Linked DNA regions of Saccharomyces cerevisiae S288C. The gene in region 1 interacts genetically with each later gene. Each region holds a gene or a part of one and is shown on either strand. Other genes may lie near its edges.

What was found.
Region 2: mutations in RBL2 (region 1) and GIM3 together harm fitness more than expected from each alone (negative genetic interaction), as found in Saccharomyces cerevisiae (6 studies listed by BioGRID, with this or other methods).
Region 3: mutations in RBL2 (region 1) and GIM4 together harm fitness more than expected from each alone (negative genetic interaction), as found in Saccharomyces cerevisiae (5 studies listed by BioGRID, with this or other methods).

The regions. Positions count from the first base shown.
Region 1 is NC_001147.6:818,472-821,546, reverse strand, and holds RBL2 (Rbl2p), read right to left. Parts: upstream 1,094-3,075; coding exon 773-1,093; downstream 1-772. Other genes in the region: PNT1 (Pnt1p), read right to left, coding at 1-524; DSE3 (Dse3p), read right to left, coding at 1,389-2,681. UniProt on the Saccharomyces cerevisiae protein: Tubulin-folding protein; involved in the early step of the tubulin folding pathway.
Region 2 is NC_001146.8:345,169-347,763, forward strand, and holds GIM3 (tubulin-binding prefolding complex subunit GIM3), read right to left. Parts: upstream 891-2,595; coding exon 501-890; downstream 1-500. Other genes in the region: serine/threonine protein kinase YCK2, read right to left, coding at 1-108; INN1 (Inn1p), read left to right, coding at 1,145-2,374. UniProt on the Saccharomyces cerevisiae protein: Binds specifically to cytosolic chaperonin (c-CPN) and transfers target proteins to it. Binds to nascent polypeptide chain and promotes folding in an environment in which there are many competing pathways for nonnative proteins.
Region 3 is NC_001137.3:146,558-149,099, forward strand, and holds GIM4 (tubulin-binding prefolding complex subunit GIM4), read left to right. Parts: upstream 1-1,618; coding exon 1,619-1,637; intron 1,638-1,725; coding exon 1,726-2,042; downstream 2,043-2,542. Other genes in the region: VAB2 (Vab2p), read right to left, coding at 1-198; YEA4 (Yea4p), read left to right, coding at 394-1,422; WBP1 (dolichyl-diphosphooligosaccharide-protein glycotransferase), read right to left, coding at 2,165-2,542. UniProt on the Saccharomyces cerevisiae protein: Binds specifically to cytosolic chaperonin (c-CPN) and transfers target proteins to it. Binds to nascent polypeptide chain and promotes folding in an environment in which there are many competing pathways for nonnative proteins.

The sequences.
Region 1 (3,075 bases):
GGGGCTTTTGCTGAAGAACTTGTAGGCAATGATGAAGACGATAGTCTTGTATTGATTTCATGCATTTCTATTTCCCGTACTAAGTTAGCCAATGCACCGTTTTTTATGCTGAATTTCTGCTCTTCGTTTCGAGTATCCCAGAATACTTTTAACGTGTTCTGAATTCCTGTTTTATAGCTTTTTAAAAGATACAATCCAATTCTAAACCAACCTGTCATGAATTTCCTCCATTTGCCAACCTTAGTATCCAATTTTACCTGTTCCAAGATCTCCTGCTTGGGGAACTTAGTCATTGGTAGGGATCGATTAGAGTTTAGAGTAGCGGCCAGAGGCTCTGGAGAATCGGATGGTGTTGTCTTCGCATTCCAATCGACATCCTGTACTATCTGTAGTGAACCTAATTTGTAACGGCTATTCAACGCTTTAAATAGTGGTGCCTTCACTAAACCGTGCAATTGAATAGAATCGCTTTTTATCACCGATGGTGCTATGTATTTTCGTACCAGTGCAACTCGAGAATCCATATCGATGGCATTAAAGGTGTTAACTCAATTAAATAGATTAATAAAGTTCTTTTTAAATATAGAGTAAAATGTTCTTATATCTCGTCACTGTATCAACAGCCGTCTTCCACTTTTCTACTTTTGCATATAATATTCCGTGCATTTTCTAGCGAGATTTATTATTCATCCGCAACAGGTTTGTACATAATAAAGTATAAAAACCTGCATCAAAATAAATGCGAAAAGGTAAGAAAAAGGTTATCTATAGATTATTTAGAATCGAGTAATTCCTGTGCAGACGTAATAGCGGATCTTGCATCACTGACATCTTCGGTACCCTGGTAAGTTTTTAGAAATTGTTCTAAATCCTCTTTAAATTCTCTAATCTTCTCATATAAAGTAGGTAATAATCTTTTTGTGTCATCAAGGACCTCCTCCTGTTTCTTCAAGTCATATGGGTCAACTGACTTGTCTTCTTTAAGTTTTGCCACATGTGCTTCCTGATCTTTCAGTTCTTGTTGGTAGTACCCTTCCTCCTTAGTCAGCCTCTTCAAGGCCTTGACTTTTATATCCAATTGTGTGGGTGCCATTGATAGTGAAATGTAGTTTTCTTGAGTTCAACCTGTTGTGCTTTATGCTCAAAAATGCCCTTATAAGACGCACTGTATCTAACTGCTCTGTTTATATGTAGCCATAGTAGTTCTTCATTATGATCCTTTGCGGGTAATACTACAAAAGGTGCGACATAAGCGGCCATTTATCGTTGAAATTGTGACACTTTTCTATTGATGACCACCTCTGGTGCAAATACACAATGTGTCACCGCTCATGCCATTATTCTACTTATATACGTATGATTTTACTTGAAACCTAGAATAAATTTTTTTATTCGCTGTAAATGCTACTGCTGCAACTTGCTATTTCAATGCAGTCAATTTTTTTTTGAAGAATATTCAAAGCCCTATCCTCGTCATCGTTGTCATCTCCATCATCACTGTCATCGTCAAAAGTCATGACATGCATTATTTTAGGCGGATCGAGAATTACTTTTTTTAATTTTCTTATAGAGAGTTTATTCAAAAGCGTATTGCACGATGATGTTTGTGCAACTTTTGGAAGCTTGTTATGTATATCCAGATCTTCCACTGATACTGTTGAGGGCAAAGTCTCCGCAGCAGTGCAATAGCCTTCCTCACTAGTGCTTTCAGACACAATGGATGATCTCATTGTCCTCTTATTCGTGTTCCATACTATACTTTCTACTTCGGACAATTCCTCATCTGAATTCGATTGGTCAGAGTATGTACTGCATCCAGACGTGGTGTATTCTGGGCTAGAAATGACATCGTTTAATGTGTTAGAATTGACAGGTTTCAACTTTGGTGTTGTTGACGAAAACAAAGTCTCTGTGTCGTCAGGGCAGACGACATATGGTACCTGAAATGCCTCATTTTTTTTAGCTATTTGTTTTGAAGCGCATATATCGATAATTCTGTCAATTTCTGAATTTAGGGCAGTAGAATCGCTTGTAGAAACGTTTTCATAGGCTGATAGAATTTCGTCAAACAATATTTCACTACCGCTTTTGCCATACTTATTTTTTCTACAGCAATCTTGTGTCTGTGTTTGCATTAGGGAGACCGGATTAATAGGAGTAAGGGCTTTTACAGGCATTACAATTGGGGCCGGGCGAGAGACAAACACTTTATCAATAATATGATCCGAATGTGTCTTATGCCCTAAAGATTGTACTACTGCAGGCTTTGACAGCGTCGGCCTACGTAAACTTTTTCTTTGAATTGGTAGTGATTTTACCTTCTTTCTTTCTCGTAATGGTAGAATCGTGCTTTGAGGACAAACTGGTCCCTTGGGAACTTGCATGTCAGTAAATTTTTTCTCTCTAATCACCTCAAGTTGGGAGCGTGGCCTCTTCTTGAAATCATGTAAGAACAATTCTGGAACAGACTCTAACCGTTTCTTCAGTTTCAGTGTACCCCCAAATCTTTTAGACAACCTGTTACCACCGTTGCTGGTACGTAAAACCTTATCATCTTCATCTTCAAAATCTTGTGGTATCGGTGGAATATACTTCAAGTCATCAGCTGTTAATGTTAGCGAAGATGGTCTGACTGCATCAACATTCTTTTCAATTTTATTGCCCAAAAACTTTCTTGGCATTACTAAGTTATTCTGTAGGATTTTTTTGCTATCCTGCCCTCACAATTATAAATGGTTCATTCATTTAATAAATCCTTTTGAATATGAAAACTTCATCAATATAGAGTAGCAAACCATTTTTACAACATTTTATATCACGATCTGCGCAAAAACCTTAGAATCCCCGCACAGCTGCCCAATGACAGATATAGGCAACGTTGTTGGTGCTAATCATTTTTAACTTGTTCTTTTTCCTCCTAGAAACCCATTGACAGTTTGCTGGTTATTTTTTTCTTCTTCCGCTTTTGCTGTCGCCGCGAATGAGTGAAGGCTGGTCAACCTGGTTAATTAGTAGCGCTGGCTTTCAGGGTACGAAAGCAATCATGTTCAGACATAGGGTTCTGTCCTTTGCAGC
Region 2 (2,595 bases), on another chromosome or scaffold:
ATTGACCAATCTAACATTGCTACGGTTAGGCATTTGTGAGTTCATTGTGTTATTATTGACAGCTAAACCAGAGTTCGTTGCTGTCAAAGGACTTTGCACTTGAGACATTTTTGGAAAACTATTTTCTTGGCTTATATGCTGTGTTCAGTAGAAACAACAAGTTTTGTCTATCAAAATGGAGAAAAAAACTTTCTAATATGATCTGCACAGAAACACGAAACACAACCACGTTCTTAAATCTCGAAAGAGAAAAACAATATCAAACGAAAGAAGTAATTTCCGTAAAGAAACTCTTTTTTTCTGTCTGAAAAAAAAGGTACTTAGGAATATATGCGGATTACAAAGGTATACAAAAAAAACTCTATCTCATACACAATAACTTAAACTTGCTTTTTATTATCATGTTCTTTACTTTTCTTTAATTTCCCTCCTGAAAAAATTAAAAATTTTTCATTACTCATTTTGTGGAGACACCCACAGCCCACACTTTAATGAGTGTTCTAACGTTCAAGGTTGATATTATCACCAAATTTAGCATACAGGATCGCCTTCAGAGCATCAAGACGGGAATCAATGTCTCTTTGCTTGTCCTCTAAAGTCTCTATTTTGTTGTCGAGACGTTCTGCGTCTTTTTCGAGCTGTGCGGTAACTTTGCTCTGTTTCATGAAGATAAAGAGGTCGCCCACCTTGTATTGCACGGGCTCATCTTCGTCAATCAATTCAATTTCTAGAGACACATCATCGAGGTACTCCTTCTCCTCCCTCTGTAAACTCAATTCCTGCGCAATGGCGTCCTTACGCATAATCAACTTCGAAAACTCGTTGATCTTTTGCTGATCTTCGAACGTTACCTGAGTGTTGTTCCTTTGTCCCTGTGGTAACAGTTCCATAATGGTCCTCTGTTAGTTTCTTGGCGTTGTGTATTCTGGTAGTTTCCGCAGGACCAAACAGAGCATAAGTCCTCTAAGTACTTAGCTTCCTGTAAAATTGTATGAAAAGCCGCCTCTGCTGATCATGAATGACGGCCTAGCGTTCCTCATATGATTTAGATAAAAACATAGAAAGGTATGTTAATAGTACGAGAGAATTCGGAGACCTTAGGTTTCACAACTGGAATTGGGTTAACTCGTTGAGTCACTGTCGAATGTCCGAAGAAGTATGGAATGGAAACCAAGGAATCCTCTCCGTATATGTGAGCAAAGCTAGAGACTTGCCTAATTTGAATAAACTGGACAAGCAAAATGTAATGCTTAGGTTGCGAATAGCTCATATGACAAGAGCCAGCAACACTCTACATCGAGCAGGTCAAAACCCTGTTTTCCATTATTTAGAAAAATTTGATATTACTCCAGAGATAAAGCCTTTAATGTACGTCGAAGTTTACTGCGATAGAAGGAAAAAATCTCCGCTGCCAATTGGAAGATGTGAAATAGACCTTTTAAATGCTATTAGAGCAGACCCGAAGGAGGGTTATTGTACCTGGTACGAACTGAAAAGAAGTGGGGATGAATTTGCTGGCACTATATTCATTGAGTTGACTTTCACTCCCAAAGTACCTCGTTTAAACAGGGACGATCTTAACAAAGAAATGGACAGGTTGGATTCATCTATGGCTATGAGGCCGATACCACCATTGCCAACAGAATCAGAGTATGACTATGTTCATGGTTCTACGATGAGACAGATTACTCCCCAGTGTGTTAGCACAAGTCACGAGGATAAGGATGAGGGACAGCCCTACAGAAATGGCAATGTTTTCTCCATGTCATCTAAATCAGATACAGCGGTATTGGCAAATAGTAATGACCCAATAATTTTACCTCCAACTTTTTCAGCATCCATGGGTACAACGTCTACATTAGAAACTAATGATACTGCTATATCAAACACTTCGAATACAAAATTCCATTTTGCCAATTTAAGGAAATTAAAGGAGAAGATAAATATATTTAAGAATCCTGATAGTTCAACAAACAACTGCCAAAATGAATCTAACAAGGTAGATATTGAGGCACTTCAAAAGGCTATTGGTGTAACTTCGTTGTCTTACGACGAAGATGATGACGATGACGACGAAAATGACGCATTTTATTCTTCCAGCCATAGAGTCTCCCACAACTATAACCAACCGCCCTTACCTCCTATACCGACCAGAGATGATATGTCCAATTATTCAAGTTCGCGCAATACGCCGTTAGTAAGAAGAGATAGACCCTCACGCCTAGATTCCTCTTCGCCTAACTCACATCCTCATCCATCAGGCCTGAATTCTCCAAAACTACCACCTCTACCGACTACTTCGAATTCCAATTTTAATTCGAGGAAGAATTCGATGTCTCCTACAAGAAAAAGACCACCTCCAAGGCTCAGCTAATGACAAGAGAAACATGCTGTTATTGTAATACTAATATTTAAATAGAATTAAGATTTTTAATGTTTACCAAGATTTTTTCTTTTTTAAATTTTATTATTTCAATATGTATACATAAATCTGTTGCGCCCTCACCGCCGATCTAAACCATAAAGAAAAATGCTAATTGTACAAATTCTGCTTTGAAGAATATCCAAAAATATGGTAAAGCGGTATAAATTTTC
Region 3 (2,542 bases), on another chromosome or scaffold:
ATAGATGGACAGAATGTCTTTTTTTACTTGTAATAACTCATACTTCGTGCTATTGAAGATAGCAGCCTGTGTTAATTTTTTATGGGATGCAAGGGGAGGTAAGCCCTTTAACTCTTCGTAATAGGAACTGCTTCCAACGGCATCAAATTCTATTCTTGATTTCCATTTCAGTATACCTTTAGTTAAGTCTGCTACCATGCTAGGCACTCTCTGCCTTTCTTATGGTTTGGTTACGCATACTCTTCCTTTATATATTCATTGTCATATTTTAAGGAAGCAATCGCTCCCGACGCAAAGTAAAAATATTCAGTGCTTTGCACTCCAGTTAGAAAAAATGAAGAGAATTCAATTGAGAATAAGCAGGGAAGTAATTGGATTGGGAGAATCTAAAAAATGTGGAACTCACTAAAAGCATTCGCTCTAGTGTTCGGAGGTTGTTGCTCCAATGTTATTACATTTGAAACCTTAATGAGCAACGAAACAGGCAGCATTAATAATCTCATTACTTTTTGTCAATTTTTATTTGTTACATGTCAGGGACTCCCCGAATTTCTGGATGTTCATCAACCTTTCCCTTACTTCAAGCCTCTGAAAACTCCACTTCACGTTTATGTCATTACTGTCGTTTTATTTTATATTTCATCTACGACGAATAATAACGTATTTAAATACAACATATCCATTCCGATTCATATCGTTTTCAGATGCTTCGGAACCGTAATAACCATGTTTACATGCTGGTTATTAAATGGTAGGAAATATACAAAGATTCAGATTTTATCAACACTATTTTTAACCATTGGAGCTATAATTGCCTCATTATTCAAAGATGCTGATTTTCGGTACCAAGATTTGAAACTGCAAGCGTGGAAAATTGGAAGTGACCAATCTGTAGATCTCACTTTTATTTTTGGCATTTGTATACTAGTACTTTCATCATTCACATCATCTTTACTTTCAGCATACAATGAACGTACGTATCAAAAATATGGAAAGCATTGGAAGGAGAATATCTTTTACAGTCATTTTTTATCATTACCTCTCTTTCTATTTAGTCGAAAGCAGTTAATTCACGAATATCGAGTGATGAGAAAGTCTGAAAGAATATTGTGTTCAAATTTTGGAGGGAAGATTCTAGTCCCGCGAGAAGAAACTCTCCTTCTTTTCAATGTGTTAACACAATATTTTTGCGTCAAGGGTGTTAATATCCTCGCCAGTAAAACAAACGCTCTGACACTTTCCATAACATTACTTGTAAGAAAATTTATAAGTCTTTTACTGAGCGTCCGACTTTTCGATAATAACTTGTCATATACTGGCTACATCGGGGTCTACCTAGTCTTTTTTGGTGCCTTTATATACTCGCTGGGATCAATTCACCCCAGGCAAAATGACAAGGGGGCGATAAAGAAAAGTAAATGAACACACATTATAAACTAACCTTAAATCCTACTTGTATGTTCCTTAACTCTATATTAGTGGTGTTGACGTAAGTTTAGATAAAATCGCGAACGCTGCCGCCTGGAAGTAAATGAAAAAAAAAAAAAAAAGAATTCATCACCTAAACTCACTAATCTTTAAAACTCATTCATGAGAAGTGGAGAACTATATTACAGCTATGGAACAAAGGAACAACGGTATGCAAAATTTCGATCTCTGGGTTTTAATAAATGCATGTAGCCAATTTTATCTTACTAACAATCTTTGTGTTTTCTCTGTGTATAGTCTTTCAAGCAAAATATAATGAATACAAACAAATTTTGGAAGAATTGCAAACAAAAATCATAGAATTAGGTCATGACAAAGATGAACACACTATAGTCATAAAAACACTGAAAGACGCTGAGCCGACGAGAAAATGTTACAGGATGATAGGTGGCGCACTTGTTGAAAGTGATGTTCAAACGAGTTTGCCTATTCTTGAAACTAAGAAGGAAAACATAGAAGGTACAATAAGTAAAATGAAAGAAACCTTAATACAAACTGCAAAAGAGTTTGAAAAATGGAAAAAAGACAATAAGATTCAAGTCGTTAAAAACTAAACCATATATAAAATCTATTGCAGTACTTAGTTTGGCAAAAAATATAAATAAACACAATCAGGTACTCTTATGTATTTATGTGAGCCATTTATAAAGAATTATAAAGGATATGAAAACATATATTAGTTTGTTTTTTTGAATGTTTCAAGTTTCTTGCCAACAGAGGAAGTCGTAACGAAAGAAACAACAAAAAATATCCACGCAACAATGACGCCACAAATGGCGCTAATATAAACCCAAGAATTGCTGATTTCCCAACTTCTTGGGTATTCATCATTAGCAAGGTGACGGATAGCTTTAACGTCTTTGTCAGTAGTGAACGACAGGCCAATCTTACGATAGTCAGTGAGGAATGTAAACACTCCATGGCGGTCTGGAAGGATGAATTCACCGGTGGTGTAATACTGAGTTTCAGAATCGTTTCCGCTTGGCGACAATGTTAGACGGTAGTACGGATCCACTTGTCTTAGTTCAAATTGGATATCATCAGCGATATGTGG